Saccharomyces cerevisiae S288C: one gene and its partners. Changing the gene in region 3 together with the main gene of any one other region gives a genetic interaction. Each region holds a gene or a part of one and is shown on either strand. Other genes may lie near its edges.

Region 1 (5,936 bases), on a different chromosome or scaffold from region 3:
GAAAATGACGATAACGGTGATGATGATGACAGCTTACTGATAGACGATACTGTGGATGATTTTGTATACACGCTTGGAGAAACAGTTCGGTTCTTCAAAGATGTTGGTAGTGTGTATATAGAGGCCTCGCTTCGCCTCATCGACAGCGATGGTGGCGTTGGCCTTGGACTTACTTTTGGTGGACATTTCTCCAACACAATAGGTTTGGGCTTCATAAATAGATTCAAAGGTGTCGGCGATGGGAATTTTACTGAACCTGGCACATCTTGGCTTGGCGATGAGAATTCCATTAATGGATGGAGTGCTGCTATATCTAAAGATAAATTTTTGGTATTCCTATTTTGTAAGGAACGCGGTGAGTTTGGCTTGAAATCGATGTCGGTTTTACTGTCCAAATGCTGCTTATCTGAGTGAAATTGCATGTGCACTTATCGCTACCAAATGTATTACTATCGCTTCCGCTACTATTGTTGTCTTATACTTAAATGAAGAAAAAAAAAAGAATGTTTACTAAACGAGTTGCATAACCCTCACTCTTGTTTACTAAACGCTTTATTTAAAAGTAATAATAATGATATATTACACTGTATCGAATCCTATGTAACATTTTTGTATTTTTTCACTTCTAAATTTGAAATAGTCAAAGAGAAAAAAACATCAAAAAACAAACTACATTTTCCTTTTTTGGAAAGTACATTCCTGTTTTGGAAATTGCCTTCCGCTCCTGCGCTATAAAAAGAAAAATACCCAGCTTTGACGAAAAAGCTACATTCTTAACACTCACTTCTTACCAGGATGGACCATGGAATCCTTTTGAATAGCCGTAGATTTTTGCGTATTGAAAAAGGGCACCTCATACTTCATGCTTCCACGGACTATCAATTCGTAATCATGCTTGATTAGTAGCTTCCATTTTTTAGTATCATCTTCTTTGTCATCTCTAGCATTTGGTTTGCTTTTGTATTGTCTTTCATTAGTATTGTTTTCATCGTCACCATCGTCGCCATCATCATCGTCATCATCGTCGTTTTCGTGCTTGGCTTCACGAGACCCAGGACTTAAAAGCTTGACACTCGAGACTGACACATCGTAGTTCCTATTAAATGCGCCGCCCTGGAACTTTAATGGTGTCTCTAGTTTTTTAGCGGTTCCTAGTAATACCGTCTCTATGTTCCCACCACTAATATCATTATTAGCACTCTCTTCAACTAACGAAAGATTTGTCGTTATTTGTAAAATTTTCCGTTCCTGTTCCATTACTGTACAGTCACCATTAGAATCGCACTTCAGGTAAGAACTTTTTGCAAAAATGTCCAAATCGACTTGGGAAACGCTTATACTGAAGAATCCTGGATTAAAAGCACTTACTGTGATGTCGAAGATCAACTCGTCCGAACTTGAAATCACATTATCCATCACTACCACGTCTACATCTTGTAGTTCTTTATTAGTGGCCAATAAAAATCCCAGAATGAATCCTGTCATCAATAGTGATGATATAACAAATGCAAGATAAAGAAAATTCTTTACTTTCACAAATGGGGACTTCCTTGAGTAAAAGTTGTGCGGTGAGTAACCAACAATATCGTTATTATTGATATTGGAATGGGTAACGTCATCGTTACCATTCATATGGATGCTACCATTCATTATGCTATTGTTTGTTCTTGATAGGTGTCTTTGACCACGTTTCATTCTTAAGGGGGTATATTCATTCAATTGGTTGTTATTGCCAGTATTGTTGCCAACCATAAAATCGTAGTAATCATTATTTGATCTTGAAGGCATCCTTCCATGTAATGGAAGTTCGTGCGTGTTGGATGCTGAGCCATAGTAACTGTTGAAAGTAGCATTTGGGCGATCATAATCATCTACGTCTTCATCTTCACCATAATCGGATATTAGCGGTTTTGTTTCTAAATCGTTCTTATGATTATAATAAAACATGGAGTGAATATCGTTTTCATCACTTTCGTTATCTTCTGGAATAAACTCATGCTGAAGGTTAGTGTGTTGCGGTCGATTTACATTAGACGAGTCACCATTATTTTCCTCTTCAATAACATTGTTATCACCATAAAAGTTTAAACCATGGGGAAACTTATTGTTCCTGCTGTTATAAAATTCATCCTTTTTCACACTATTTTGCATTGTTGGATAATTATGCGGCTGTTCGATGTAATCTTCTAGATTAACGTGATCCGGTACCCCAGAGTATCTCCGTAAAGGAGCTCCATTAGGGTTTGAATCAAATATCTTTGACACTGTTGTTCTAAGAGGCCTTTTGTTGTCACCATAATTAGAATTTCTATTAGCAGAGGAATGTCTCAAAGTAGAATTGGAAAGAGATTTCTTCGTTGAAATATCATTGTTTGGTTCCAATTCCTGCGAATTTGTGGCAACATTGGGACACGATATTGTGTTACCGTTGCTTGATGTGGATGAAAGTAAATGTGGAGAAACTTTAGATAGGGATACTAAGCTTGACCTCTTATCAGGCGACTTGGCAATAACATTGCTGTCTGGGTTGTCAGAGGTATACGAATCTACCGATTGTACATCCATTGGTGGTTGCTGCTGCTGCAATTGATGCGGTGGCTCCTGTTTTATACTGCTCAACTCGTCCAGGTGATTGTGTCCCGACATCAGATTGTTATTGTTCTGCATCACATTAGAATTCAAGTTCGGATTTGTGCTTATAGTCGCGATTGTGTTATTCAATATGGCACCAGTGCTAATATGTCTTGAATTTTTCAGTCGGCTTAATAATTTTTTGTTATTGTTTAGCAATGGGGCGCTTATCTTTGAGGTTATTCCATGATTTTGTTGCTGTTGCTGTTGTTTTGGAGGTTGCTGTTGCTGCTGCTGCTGCTGGCTGGAGGAGTCAGGAAATATTAGGTTTTTAGTCGAATTAGCTGCCGATTCATAAACAAATGTTTCCTCAGAATCACTAATTTCATTTTCACCTACAGCTGTAGCCAGCCTTGCAGCGAAAAAATCCGCCTTTGTTGGTTTTTCTGAATTACTCTCATGTGAGTCGTCATTTATTGCATTATTGTTAGAGGTAGAAGCGCTCAAGTCGGCGTTAGAATTCTTGATATCGGCATTGGTTTTATTGGATGCACTATTACTGTTATTGCCGTTGTTGTTGCTGCTGGTTTTCTTCTTGTTATTATTGTGATTGTCAGCATTACTGCTGGAGACACTAGCAGTGAGAGCCTGAGTATTGTCTGTACTGCCCAAAGGTGCGGTTGAAGGCGCTGTTTTAGTAGATGTAGTGCATATTTTGCTGGTGTCATCATTACGTTCATTTTTCCCACTATTAATGTTTTTATTCTTCTTCATTTTGTTGTTATTTTCATTATCATCTGCGTTCGAGTGATTCGGTATACGCAGCCCATCATTTGCTACTGGACCATTATCGTGTGTGGTTGAATTCGCGGGAGCATTCTTCGCCTTTGTATCATCTAACAGGTTTTCACCTAAAAGTATTTCTCTTGAATTAGTGACGTGCATTGTGGGCCTCTCTATTATTTTTGGCTTATTTTGTTGTGATAGTGAAGGTAGAGGTAAAAGAGGAGCTGGAGGTGTATTCGAGCCGATGTTATTACTAGTGCTGGGTGCCGTGTTATTGGAGAAGGCCGAAGCCTTTCTGAACGCTTTAGATGCGGAAGTTGATGATGGACCATGAATATTCGCCGATCTCGCTGTTTGATAAAGGGCAATGTTACTTGTAGGCATATTATTGGAGATGACGGCAGGTTTCTTCTTCGAGAGTTCAACATCTGAAGCAAACGCAGGGTTAGAAGCTACCAACAAAGAGCTCTTCTTGTTTCGTAATGAAGATGACGGATTGGAAAGATGAGATGACAGAGGGTTGTGGTTGATTAGGGCATTGTTACTATTATTATTAGTTGATGAAACAGAGCCGATATGTTCTAAATGTAAATCTGTTGGGATATCACTCGTTGACATTGATGTTCCTGCCCTGTTTATGTCTGAATGCCAATGATCTTGATTATGTGACGTGGCATCGGAATCCATTAAATTGTTATCTATGGTGGGCAAATTATGCTGTACAACGTTGCTGGTGGTGTTAGCAGTAGCGACAGAATCATCAACTATTTCCCTGTGTAGCGGAGAGGTAGATGTGGAGGCAGAGGGAATAGAAGGATTAGGTGCTACTACATTACTGTTATTCGACAATAAAAGATTATTTGCCACGGGTGCCTCAACTGTTTCTGTCTCTACAGTGAGCTTTCTATCTTCTTCTGTCATCTAGCACGTTTCCCAAATGCTTTAACTTGCCTGAGATGAAACGATAAGGTGTATACAGGGCGATTTACACTATAATTTATGGAATATTTTCCTGTATCTACTTGATTTTAGTTGTAGAATTGAAGATCATTATGCAAAATCGAAGGGGATACCCGTCGCAGAAACCACCCAACGAATTTTCTAAAGCGGAAATGCCTAAGAACAAAGAAATAAGAAGAACGAATCAATATATTGCACTACAATATATCACAAAGAGTGGCCAGGAAGACTTACAAGGTCTAAATTTAAGAGGGATTAACGTTTTTTCAAGTTATGTACATCTTTATGTAAACGTAAAATCTAATTTTGTGTCTGTCTGAGGACGGGAGGGGCAGTCTTGTGCGACGACAATTATCTGAAAAATCTGCACATTTGGACTGCAATGTGTATCTCGTGTCTAACAGTCCAACTTTGGTGCTGAATTAACTTCATGAATGACCTCTTAATGATTTAGCGAAGGGAAATTAGAGGACAAGATCTCGCCGCGTGTATAGATATATACATATATATTATCCAAGATTGGAATGAATTTCGCCGCCCCTGCTCACCGACATCGAGACCAGTACGGTGCCTTCGCTAACCAATGTTGGACATAAAGCTTAAACCAGGGCTGATGATTTGCAACCAAAACGGAACGTAAACCTTACACCACTTTTACAGTTTTTTGTTGTAGTTAGAACAAAAGTGAGTAAGTACTCACCGTTTCTGCCGCGCGGCGAACTTACTTACCCAAATATTAATGGAACTTCCGATCCAAACTTCAACTTGTCTTTCACCTCTACGTATCTAATCTTACAGTGAAGTTTCCTAGAAGACTACCATTTATATATGTGGTTGTTGTTACAGCTTTGGACTGTGTGTCTTCGTTCGTTTACATATAGTTTGCAATTGTCCTTCCAAAAAACTACTAACGTTATCCTTGTGACGTTGTTGCTATAGCGTAACGTGCGTCACTAGTCTTCGATTAGTATTCCGTGATAGTTTTGAGAAATGGGTGAATGTTGAGATAATTGTTGGGATTCCATTGTTGATAAAGGCTATAATATTAGGTATACAGAATATACTAGAAGTTCTCCTCGAGGATTTAGGAATCCATAAAAGGAAATCTGTAATTCTACACAATTCTATAAATATTATTATCATCGTTTTATATGTTAATATTCATTGATCCTATTACATTATCAATCCTTGCGTTTCAGCTTCCACTAATTTAGATGACTATTTCTCATCATTTGCGTCATCTTCTAACACCGTATATGATAATATACTAGTAACGTAAATACTAGTTAGTAGATGATAGTTGATTTTTATTCCAACATACCACCCATAATGTAATAGATCTAATGAATCCATTTGTTAGTTAATAGTTTAAATGTTTTTATCGGAAGAGGTTTTGTCATCACATCAGCAATGTTCTTCTTGGTCTCGATGTAGTATACGTATAAATTATTACCTGATACTTCATCTCTAAGTCTCATTGCCTTTGTGCCAAAAAATCTGTTTCTAAATTTCTCTTCATTTGTAGACTTAATTATACTGATCGTTGATCTACTATCAGTAAGTAAGCCTTTAATAATTGGTTTCTTGTTAAGTTCTTGCACAAGGTGACTGAGGTTATT
Region 2 (3,776 bases), on a different chromosome or scaffold from region 3:
TGTTTTGTGGTTATTTTCATTTTTCCCATAGTTGATCGAAATTTCGATTGTTTAACAATTTTCAGAACTTTAGTCAAGCTGTACCCTATTATGTACGTTATGGTTCCTTACGTTGTTTTTCTACAGAATGAACGGATTCCTAGCTGGTATACTGTCGTCTACTTGTACATAATCACAGGGATAAAAACATTTTGTGGCGCTTTAACGTCACCACAAATTATGTTATTAATTCATAATTCGAGTCCCTTGAGTTGTAGATCAGTCATCAATGGCGCCACCATTAGTATTTCTGCCTCTGCTCGTTTCATAGGTCCCTTAGTATGGGGCTATATTATGTCTTGGTCCCAGCAAAATGACGTCGCCTGGGTCAGTTGGTGGTCGTTAAGTCTTTTTTGTATGGTAGCTCTTTATCAAAGTTATAAGATAGCACCAATTGATGATAACGAAAATGAGCTTCATGGACAGGGTAGTGAAGATGCCTACAATTCGCAGTCACAGTCTTCTGATTTAAGAATGGCTCATCGATCTAGTTTAAGCAGCTTAAGTAACCAACGCTGTACCACATGAGAAATTTTTTTTCAGAAGGCTTGCAAAAAGGATATCTAATAAAAAAAAAAATGAACTCCAGTAGATTTTAGATATCAACCATAACTGGCGAAAATTTGCACCTTTTTGATGAGAGCATGTTATGTCAAGGCATGGCCGCGTGATGGCATTGCACTCAAGATAGTTTCCGGAATTATTATACTCCTTATGTAAATTTCAATCCGTTTATGTAATTATATCCAGGAACTCAATTTGACCAGACAAGTAATGGCGCCCATTTTGAGCGAGAGAACCCATTTTTCTATACAAATTTCACTAGAGCACGGCCGTTACATTTAGTAATAGCCAATAAGGGTTTTTTATCGATTAGTGTTCCCTGCGCTCCTTAACATCATACAACCGAGTACTTGACATGGAGATAGTAGGCAAGTAAACCAAAGTCCTTTCTTCAAAAGTAGAAAACTTGAGCACTTATTTCCTGCGCATGTCATATGTTAATTTTCCTCAACTGCGCTGAATACGTCCTGTCAATTCAAATATATCACGTTGTGAGCAGCCCTGAAGAAGAAAACCTCAACAGCAGTATTACTATTACAATCAAACAACTTTAGTGCCGCGTGATACCGGGGGTTGAAGTGGGTGCATTGAGCCGTATTCTTCTTCCCCGTAAGAAAGTTGTGTATCCTTTTTACTGCGTTGTAATAGCTTCTGAAAACCTAAAAAATGAACGCTATGTAGCTCATATCCGTTTTGCATAAGTAAGAATAACTACTTGTGCAGGGTGCCGAAAGGGATGGAAAACCGCTGCAGCAACCCTTGTTACATACAGTCGGATCCATCTGACTTACTTTCCTTGCGTCTCCCTGCGCGATTTTGTTGGCCATTTTCCAGATCCTCTAGAATTTTTCAAGGGTCGAGCCGTAGGAGGATTCTCTCAGAAGGCAAAAACGCATCGAAAGCGTGCTTTGTAAGAATATTTGGTATGGCTAAAGTAAGCAAAGCCATATCCCGATCCCGATCCCGACTCTTATTCCGATCCCTTCCGCCACATCCTGCATGTTTATTCGAATACCAAATTAGCTCATCTTCGTTATTTCATCATCCCTTTCTGCTATGGCAAGGACAAGTTTTTTTCTAGCATCTCATCGAAAACTTTCCTCTCCCTAATTGGCCAAAGTTTTCATATTCATCATCAGTTAGAAAGTATAATATCAATCCCTTACCTCATTACAAGTTGTATCACACTAAAAAAATCATATATAAGTCTGTGAGAGTCTTCAATTATTTAGCGTAACACCTATTCACTTTCTAATCTTGTTTCTTGTTTTTACATTCTGCAATACAACACAACAACAAATATTAACTCAATTATTATTATTTATAATTACAAAAACAAAACAACAAGTTTGAGACTTTAATATCTTTTGATTACTAAAAACAACAAATTTCAAATGAACGATACGCTATCAAGCTTTTTAAATCGTAACGAGGCTTTAGGGCTTAATCCACCACATGGCCTGGATATGCACATTACCAAGAGAGGTTCGGATTGGTTATGGGCAGTGTTTGCAGTCTTTGGCTTTATATTGCTATGCTATGTTGTGATGTTCTTCATTGCGGAGAACAAGGGCTCCAGATTGACTAGATATGCCTTAGCTCCTGCATTTTTGATCACTTTCTTTGAATTTTTTGCTTTCTTCACTTATGCTTCTGATTTAGGTTGGACTGGTGTTCAAGCTGAATTTAACCACGTCAAGGTTAGCAAGTCTATCACAGGTGAAGTTCCCGGTATTAGACAAATCTTTTACTCGAAATATATTGCCTGGTTCTTGTCCTGGCCATGCCTTTTATTTTTAATCGAGTTAGCCGCTAGTACTACTGGTGAGAATGACGACATTTCCGCCTTGGATATGGTACATTCGCTGTTAATTCAAATCGTGGGTACCTTATTCTGGGTTGTTTCGCTATTAGTTGGTTCATTGATCAAGTCCACCTACAAGTGGGGTTATTACACCATTGGTGCTGTCGCTATGTTGGTTACCCAAGGTGTGATATGCCAACGTCAATTCTTCAATTTGAAAACTAGAGGGTTCAATGCACTTATGCTGTGTACCTGCATGGTAATCGTTTGGTTGTACTTTATCTGTTGGGGTCTAAGTGATGGTGGTAACCGTATTCAACCAGACGGTGAGGCTATCTTTTATGGTGTTTTGGATTTATGTGTATTTGCCATTTATCCATGTTACTTGCTAATTGCAGTCAGCCGTGATGGCAAATTGCCAAGGCTATCTTTGACAGGAGGATTCTCTCATCACCATGCTACGGACGATGTGGAAGATGCGGCTCCTGAAACAAAAGAAGCTGTTCCAGAGAGCCCAAGAGCATCTGGAGAGACTGCAATCCACGAACCCGAACCTGAAGCAGAGCAAGCTGTCGAAGATACTGCTTAGAGCAGCTTGAGATTGTCTTAATCATTCTTTGCTTAACACATTTCAAAACATCAGTTTTCTTCTTTTAATGTCACTAATGAAACTTAATATTTAATAATCTAATTTTAATTTCTTTATGAAATATGCAAAATAAATTATATACACAAACACAATAATTAATAATCTAATCTCATTTTTCCAAAATCAAGAAATGTTCTTACTGCTTCCATGCCTGAATAGTCTAATCGATAGTAGGCCATTTCAATTCTTTTTAGTTATATGGAGACGCAAACACCACTTTATTTTAGCGTACCCTACCAAAATTAAACGATAATATGGTATTTTTATTCTCATTTGTTACACTCTATTCTGTATCACTGGATACATTCGCGGTAACTTGTTTTATAAAGTGAGATGGGATTTATGACCATTAGATGCATATAAAAGCTTCCAAATAATAATAAGATATTGTGACTTTTGGTGAACTAGATACGCTTTGAAATTCTTCATTTGTAATGAAGCAGGATTCACATTCAATATTTTGTAGCTTACAATTGTGAATGTTGCGTTTTCCTACTTTTTCCTTTCATTTTTCAAAGCATCGAGCATTTTTTTCATTTCTTCCAAACTCATCCTTTGCCTTTCAGGATTGATAATACTATTGTGTCTTTCCGTACTTTCTACCAAGTTCAATAACTCGCATATGTTTTCTCTTTGAGATAATAACTGAAATGCTGTTAAATTTTTCAGCGTTACATTGTTGTAAGCTCTTTCAGGATTCATTGAGCTGATTGTGTTGTT
Region 3 (6,459 bases):
AGCTCCAATTTTAAGCTTATGTTTGAAAAGAAAAATATGTCTGTAGACACCACTCTACCGTGCATAAAGGATGTCAAGCTTAACGATACATACACTTTGAGACCTATACTAATATGCGATAGACACGATATCAGCTTAGAAGGAAACGAACTTTATCCATTATCGTACAAGCCTCAACATACTCTGTCATACATAGAACAATACTGCAGATATTATAAGTGCGAATCTGACCATAGTCTAGTGGAGTTGAGATATTTTGAACAGCTTAGACTGCGACACGGCGAAATGCCAGGAAACTCACACGACTCTGCTATTAAACCCAAAATTTACGTACTTCCTTTCGAAAGGACTTGCCCACATTGTGGTACAAACAAAAGTTTATACTGGTATGAAGATATTATTTGCCATTCTTGCAATTTGAGATCAGGTGCCCAAGAACTCGATTTTGATAGCGCATCTGCTAATATCTCTAACGATAACGGTTTACCAGTCGAAATTACCCAGCAATTGATGGAAGGAATTGAGCCAGCTATGTTTGATATCGATATTTCAGAAGCTGGTACCGACAAAAATACGCATCCATCAAGCCAGTAAGTGATAGTTACCTTAGATAGAAAGTATGGTCCAATCTTGCGCGGCTTTGTTGTGTTATTTTTTTCCATTATGCTTACAATGAATAATCTTATCCTATTTATGAATACTACAATTTACCATCAGTTACAAAGGAAGTTTTTTATATATTAATTTGGGGCAGGTGTTACTGTTCTTGAGGTTTGGCCCACTATATCTTTTAATTTATCGTCTACTGTTTCAATGACACCACTCCTTTTATTACCAGATGCATTTTTGCGAAGTGAGGAACCCCATATCGAATTTGCTAAAACGTTTTTCCAAGCTATCACATCTTCCATAGCTTTAAAATGTCTATAATTGACTAAGTCAGTCAATATTTCAATCTGCTTATTCACCTTATTACCACGGGAGATTTTGGTTCTTTTCCTTTCTGAACGGGCTAAAATCCTCGCGCCTGGCCTCTGCGAATTTATTATGGATTTTTTCTGTTCCAAGAGTTCATCTCTCTGATCTTCTAATTCTTGTATTCTATTAAGAACATTGCGTGTTTTCGAGCTATCATCTAGCTTCATGAGTTCGTCTGCAATCACCTCCAACTTTTCGTCTATCACAGCTTCTCTCTTCTCTTCGGCATCAACCTGTACATCAACCTCACTTTTAACACCGCTATTTTTATCATCAACATCCATACTATCAACGTTCAATTCGTTTTCGGTAAATTCATTATTTTCTAACTCCTTTAGCAACTTTTCTTCATTTTTGGTGAATGCTGTCAGTGACAGCGCATGGTCGCGCAAGCTAAGGGAACTTTTAATTCGTTCCATTATGGGTCTGATTTGCCTCAAGAGATCATGCTCTTTGCGACCCCAATTATCTAACCAGTCCATTATTCTTGACAAGTCCTCTAACTTGTCAATGCAATACCATTGATCTGGTGATAGTAGCAACCTTGAAGGTGTTTCATCCATAATTTTCTTTTGAATAGGTGTCAGCTCTATAAGTGGGTTTACGCGATCATTACTGTCCAATAGTTCGACCTCTATTCCATTTTCTACGTAATTATAAGATCCGGAACTAGTTTTGGAGATACCAAATACTTCCCTAGTTGCCTCGGATATTCCTTCGGAATTTCTGATTTTTTGCCAATTGCTCAATTGCTCATCACTGACGTTCAAAAAGAATTTCGCCGATGATGCTTTAGGTCCCTGAATTAATAAACGACCGGAGTGATAACTCAAACTATTGTTACTTTTCGGCGTCTCATTCATACCAGCAGGATATTGAGGAAATGGAACACCATTGTGATCCAGCCAAAAATACCTGTTCCCGTATCGATCCAATCCCAACGGCTTTAATCTTTGTAGATCGTTTTCAAATAGACAATTATCGAGGAAATTTTTATCTGATTGTAAAGCTTGTACCTTTTTATCCTGCTCTTCAATTAACTTTTGCTTTTTCTCAATGATAATAAGATCAATTGGTTCACTATTTGATTCGGAATCATCTTTTTTATCGGCACCATCGGCTGATGGTGTGTTTTCATCTGTTTTATTTAACTTCTCTTGAATTGCCTGCAGGTCGCCTTGAAGATTACTTAAGACGGCTGCCTCCGTTTTCAACTCTCTCGCAACTTTGAATCTTTCGCTACGAATTTGACCACATAGTTCCATGGAATCATCTACAGCAGCTTTGATATCTGGAGAAAAATGCGATACGAGATCTACAAGTATCCACAGCGCATTGACTTTGTCACTGAACGACAGCTTTCGACAGAAATTTCTCCAAAGCTGTTTGGGCAATTGAGTAGCTGATATATCTTTGGGTATGATCTTTTCTATGAAAGAATCAATAAACTCTGTATACATGGGAAGATGTCTACAATCTTCTAAGACTCCCAGTAAAATTATTAGCCAGTAACTGTTATTAAATTGCCTTTTCGTCAAGCGTTCTATCCAGTTAACATTGCGGTAGTTCAAACACTTTTCTAATTTAGGATCTCGTTCTTCACTGTCAGAATCAGATTTAGAATCAGATTCTGAATTTGTTTCGTTTTTAGCGTCTGATTCTTTTTGAACTTCTGTTGCGTTTTCCTTTAATGTGTCCTTTAGGTTGTCGATCTTTTCCTTATCTTGTAAAAAGTATCCGTGAGCATTTCGTTTTTGCTTCGCCTCCCCCTCCCCTCTTTCATCTTTTCTCTCCATAAGGACTCCCTTGTCGTCTATTATCCAGTTTTCAACGACGATGCAACTCCAATCGCCTTCTTCGTTGATGAACAAACGTAAGAGCGCAGTAAAAACTTCAATGAGAAGAGCAGACCCATTATGATTGATATTATCAAGTATATCATCGGATGCTGGGTCATCGTGAACAATCTTGTACTCAACCTTGTCGGAATTTCTTTTCATTATCATATCACGAATAAATGAATTTCTTTGCCAGTCACTTGGGTTTTCAGAGTCTTCCTCAGTAGTAGTCTCTGCTTTGTTTTTCATCGGCAGGCCGTTATTTTCAATTTCTTGTTCTTTAGACGTTTGCGTTCTTATGTTCACTAAAACAACTTCGCCCTTTAACTCATATGGGTCTGTACATTTCAAAGAAGTAATGAATTGGTCAAGGCTAAAATGAGAGAGACAAATTTTCGAACCAAACGTATTCAGAAACTGATAGGCTTGTAATAGCTTTCCAAAAGAATCAAAAGGTCTGGAAAGTTTTGTAGAACCTAATGAAATACATTCTAATTTTTCATTATAATACGTTAAGTTTGGAAAGATGTTCGGTGGATGTTGATATGGCAAAGCTAGGTCATCCATTATGCTCGTTATTGTTACAGCCTGAGGCTCCGCATTAGCTGGTGTAGGAACGCTTTCGACGTTTTCCGTGTTCGGTTCCTCATTGGCTTCCTTTTTCCTTTTTTTAGAATGTGTTTCTGATGTGACATTTTGACCCTTCTTCTTGTCTTCTTCCGAAGAATTATTCTCAGAATCATTTACTTCGGTTGGCTTTCTTTTTTTCTTGGTTTCTTTTTTGTTAGAAGCATCGTTTGAGGTGTTACTTTTACCCGATGATTTACTTTGACGTTTATTCTTTTCACTTTCTGGGGATGAAACATTGGCACTGTTGGAACGTCTTGCTACGACAGGTTCATCTTCTTTATATTTTAACATATCTTTTGGCCATTCCATCGTTAAACCATACATCGCTAAATATTCCGGTTTGACACACCAAGGTGCACCCATTTTCGAAGATGCCCTCTGTAAAGTAATCTTGAAAAAACATTTGATTAAGTGCTTAGTGAAAGTGGAACGGTCCCTGTAAATTTGTCCTTGATCAACAATGAAGGATTTATTACTGGAAGCTGCTTCTTCTATCAGCATGTATTTAGTATGAGCGGGCATCACAATTTCCCTGCTCTCTGGATTTATCGTTGCGTTAAATTGGACCTTTTCTTTGATAACATAACGTCTTTGGTATTGGTACTGCGGTAAGCCAGGATTACCAACACTGTTGATTTCGACCATATCATCAGGTTGAGGAGTACTTTGTTGGGAATTAGAGCTTGTGGTAGAAGAGTCTTTCTGTTTACGTAGATAAACAACTTCTCCTGGGAAAAAGTCATTTTTAAATCTTGCGTAAACTTTCTCCACCAATGCATCTAACCTTCTTATTCCGTTAAAATGTAAAAATCTTGCAACTGGTTCTCTCAACTTTAATGGGAATCTGTCTTCGACGTATTTGAATTGTGTCTCCTCACTATCCAGAGCTTGGAAAAAAGTCAGGCAAGAAGTACCAGTGATTTCGCATGTAAAATGGTGGCGTGTGTAGAAATCAAACCTTTCTAAAAATTCTTCGTAACTAGAAAACCATTCTCCAGTCTCTTCAATATGCCATACTTGTACATTCAAATCCAATGGTAAAGGTTTTGGATCAGGAAGTAATATAGGTTTCCTTTTATATAACACCATTGTTTATTAACGGCTTTCTTTACTTCCTCCTATTGTTATTTTCTTTTTTTATATATCTTCAATGGAAGTGCTATAGTAATTGTAAAAATCTGGATATATCTGCCTATTTCCAACAGTAATTGAGTGTGATGTATCTAATGTCAGTTGAATTGTTTACAGCCTTTTAAATAGTTATGTATTTAACCCAATATATGTTTTTCTGAATTTTTTCAGGAGAAATACAAAGAAAAGAAGAAGAGCAAGAAAGAGGATTTTTCTGATCGGTATTATCCTTTTTATTTTTTTTCTATTTCTACACTTTTTTTCCTCTATAATTTTCCTTTATTATTTTTCATTTCGGGTTTTCTCACCACGTTAAAAATGGATAATAAACTTAAAAGAAATAAAACCATGAAATATTTCTATTTTAAGGTTAGACAATACAGAAGGGACAGAGAAAGATGTGTAGGCAAATATACATTTGTTTGAACCATAGATTCAACAGTAATTTAATGCGAGTAAAAAAATCACATTTTTATGTGCGTTTCGAGAGCATCAATTAAGAATCCGGGATAACTGTTGGGAAGCTCTGAAGTTTTCTCCAATATCGAGTACAGGTTTCCACCATTGCACGGAAATATAAACAGACTAAGTTTGTCGTTGTTTTATTGAGAAATTGTTTGTATCATATTACCAGTGCCGCTATTGACTGGAAAGCATTCGTTACGTTCGTTAAAATAATTATCTAAAATACTTGTATCAACTATACACAGAAGGACCGTAGTTCATTCAAAAGTAATTTGGAGGCGGCTAATTTCCTGTTACTGACCATTAATTTAGTATTGCACACACAGATCAATAGACTGACTTCTAATTTAGTCAAAAGCCGTTTCGAAATACCGCATACTTTACTAAAATATTCATGTGAGTGAACGAAATCTTCCAATAATTTCGTGCTCAATCTAACCGCTGCTATTATCATTCGATGGACCTCCTTTTCCTGTAAGTTTAACTTCAACTGCAAAATGTTATTGCCATCCCTTGTTAAAAACAACGTGTCAATTAAAAATGTTGCCACAAGGTAAACAGTTGGCTGGTACTCACATTTGTCTTGGATTCTCTTGAGAAAATCTGCTGATGATAAGGTGGGTTTACTTTTCATGTAGAAATTCGAGTATTCTTTTTTCTCCACTCTAGTATTGAAACCGGTACACTTTCTATTGCCACTAAGTTTTAGTAGTAGTTCTATGGTTTCCTTGAAATTCGCCAGAGCTTCATCAACCGATATGTGGGGCACTTCTACATCAACCGGTATGCCATGTAGCAACGGGTTTTCACTTTCGGACTTAGTTTTTTCTTGATCTTCTTCTTCATCGTGTGGTAGACTGATATGCAACCCTCCCATATCAAAGCTTGTAATGCTGCTACATTCAGAAAAAATGGAGTCATCAATATCTTGCTCCTCCACATCCGTAGCATCGCCAATTTCGAAACTGGCAGTTGGAGATTTGAAGAGTGGTGATCTACGGCGAGGTATGCTTAGCCCGTTTTGTTGATGGAAAAGATCTTTATCAAAAATAGAACTTGTGCAACCCGTGGTATCCTCTAGCTCATCATCACTTAGTTCAAAATTGGACGTTGAGCTAAAATTAGTGCCATTAATACACGCGCTCGAATCATCACCCATGGAACTATATAATCCTTTCCCTCCATTCAATAGCCCCACCTGAAAATTGTTTATGTTCTCTATATTCTGCGCCAAATAATTATTCATTTCATTAGCGGATTCCAACAGTTGCTCTACATGTATTCTATTTTTTGAACTATCTGTTGTACCGCATGGCTGTGCTTTCTCAGTCTTGCCTTCTGCAAGACCAGGCGTATTTGATCTAGACTGGTCCCATTCACTTGTTAAATCTGAGAAATTCTCACTCTGTAAAAACTT

Evidence for each region.
Region 1: mutations in ITC1 (region 3) and VAC7 together harm fitness more than expected from each alone (negative genetic interaction), as found in Saccharomyces cerevisiae (one large-scale study listed by BioGRID).
Region 2: mutations in ITC1 (region 3) and HSP30 together harm fitness more than expected from each alone (negative genetic interaction), as found in Saccharomyces cerevisiae (one large-scale study listed by BioGRID).

Annotation. Positions count from the first base shown.
Region 1 is NC_001146.8:524,428-530,363, reverse strand, and holds VAC7 (Vac7p), read right to left. Parts: upstream 4,279-5,936; coding exon 781-4,278; downstream 1-780. Other genes in the region: tyrosine/serine/threonine protein phosphatase MSG5, read right to left, coding at 1-422. UniProt on the Saccharomyces cerevisiae protein: The PI(3,5)P2 regulatory complex regulates both the synthesis and turnover of phosphatidylinositol 3,5-bisphosphate (PtdIns(3,5)P2). Positively regulates FAB1 kinase activity.
Region 2 is NC_001135.5:155,329-159,104, reverse strand, and holds HSP30 (Hsp30p), read left to right. Parts: upstream 1-1,997; coding exon 1,998-2,996; downstream 2,997-3,776. Other genes in the region: YCR023C (uncharacterized protein), read left to right, coding at 1-567; YCR022C (uncharacterized protein), read left to right, coding at 1,340-1,684; HTL1 (Htl1p), read right to left, coding at 3,549-3,776. UniProt on the Saccharomyces cerevisiae protein: Probably cooperates with other heat shock proteins in the translocation of polypeptides through membranes. It may counteract the altering effect of heat shock on the plasma membrane.
Region 3 is NC_001139.9:255,783-262,241, reverse strand, and holds ITC1 (Itc1p), read right to left. Parts: upstream 4,536-6,459; coding exon 741-4,535; downstream 1-740. Other genes in the region: DNA-binding E3 ubiquitin-protein ligase SNT2, read left to right, coding at 1-594; PCL10 (Pcl10p), read right to left, coding at 5,278-6,459. UniProt on the Saccharomyces cerevisiae protein: Functions as a component of the ISW2 complex, which acts in remodeling the chromatin by catalyzing an ATP-dependent alteration in the structure of nucleosomal DNA.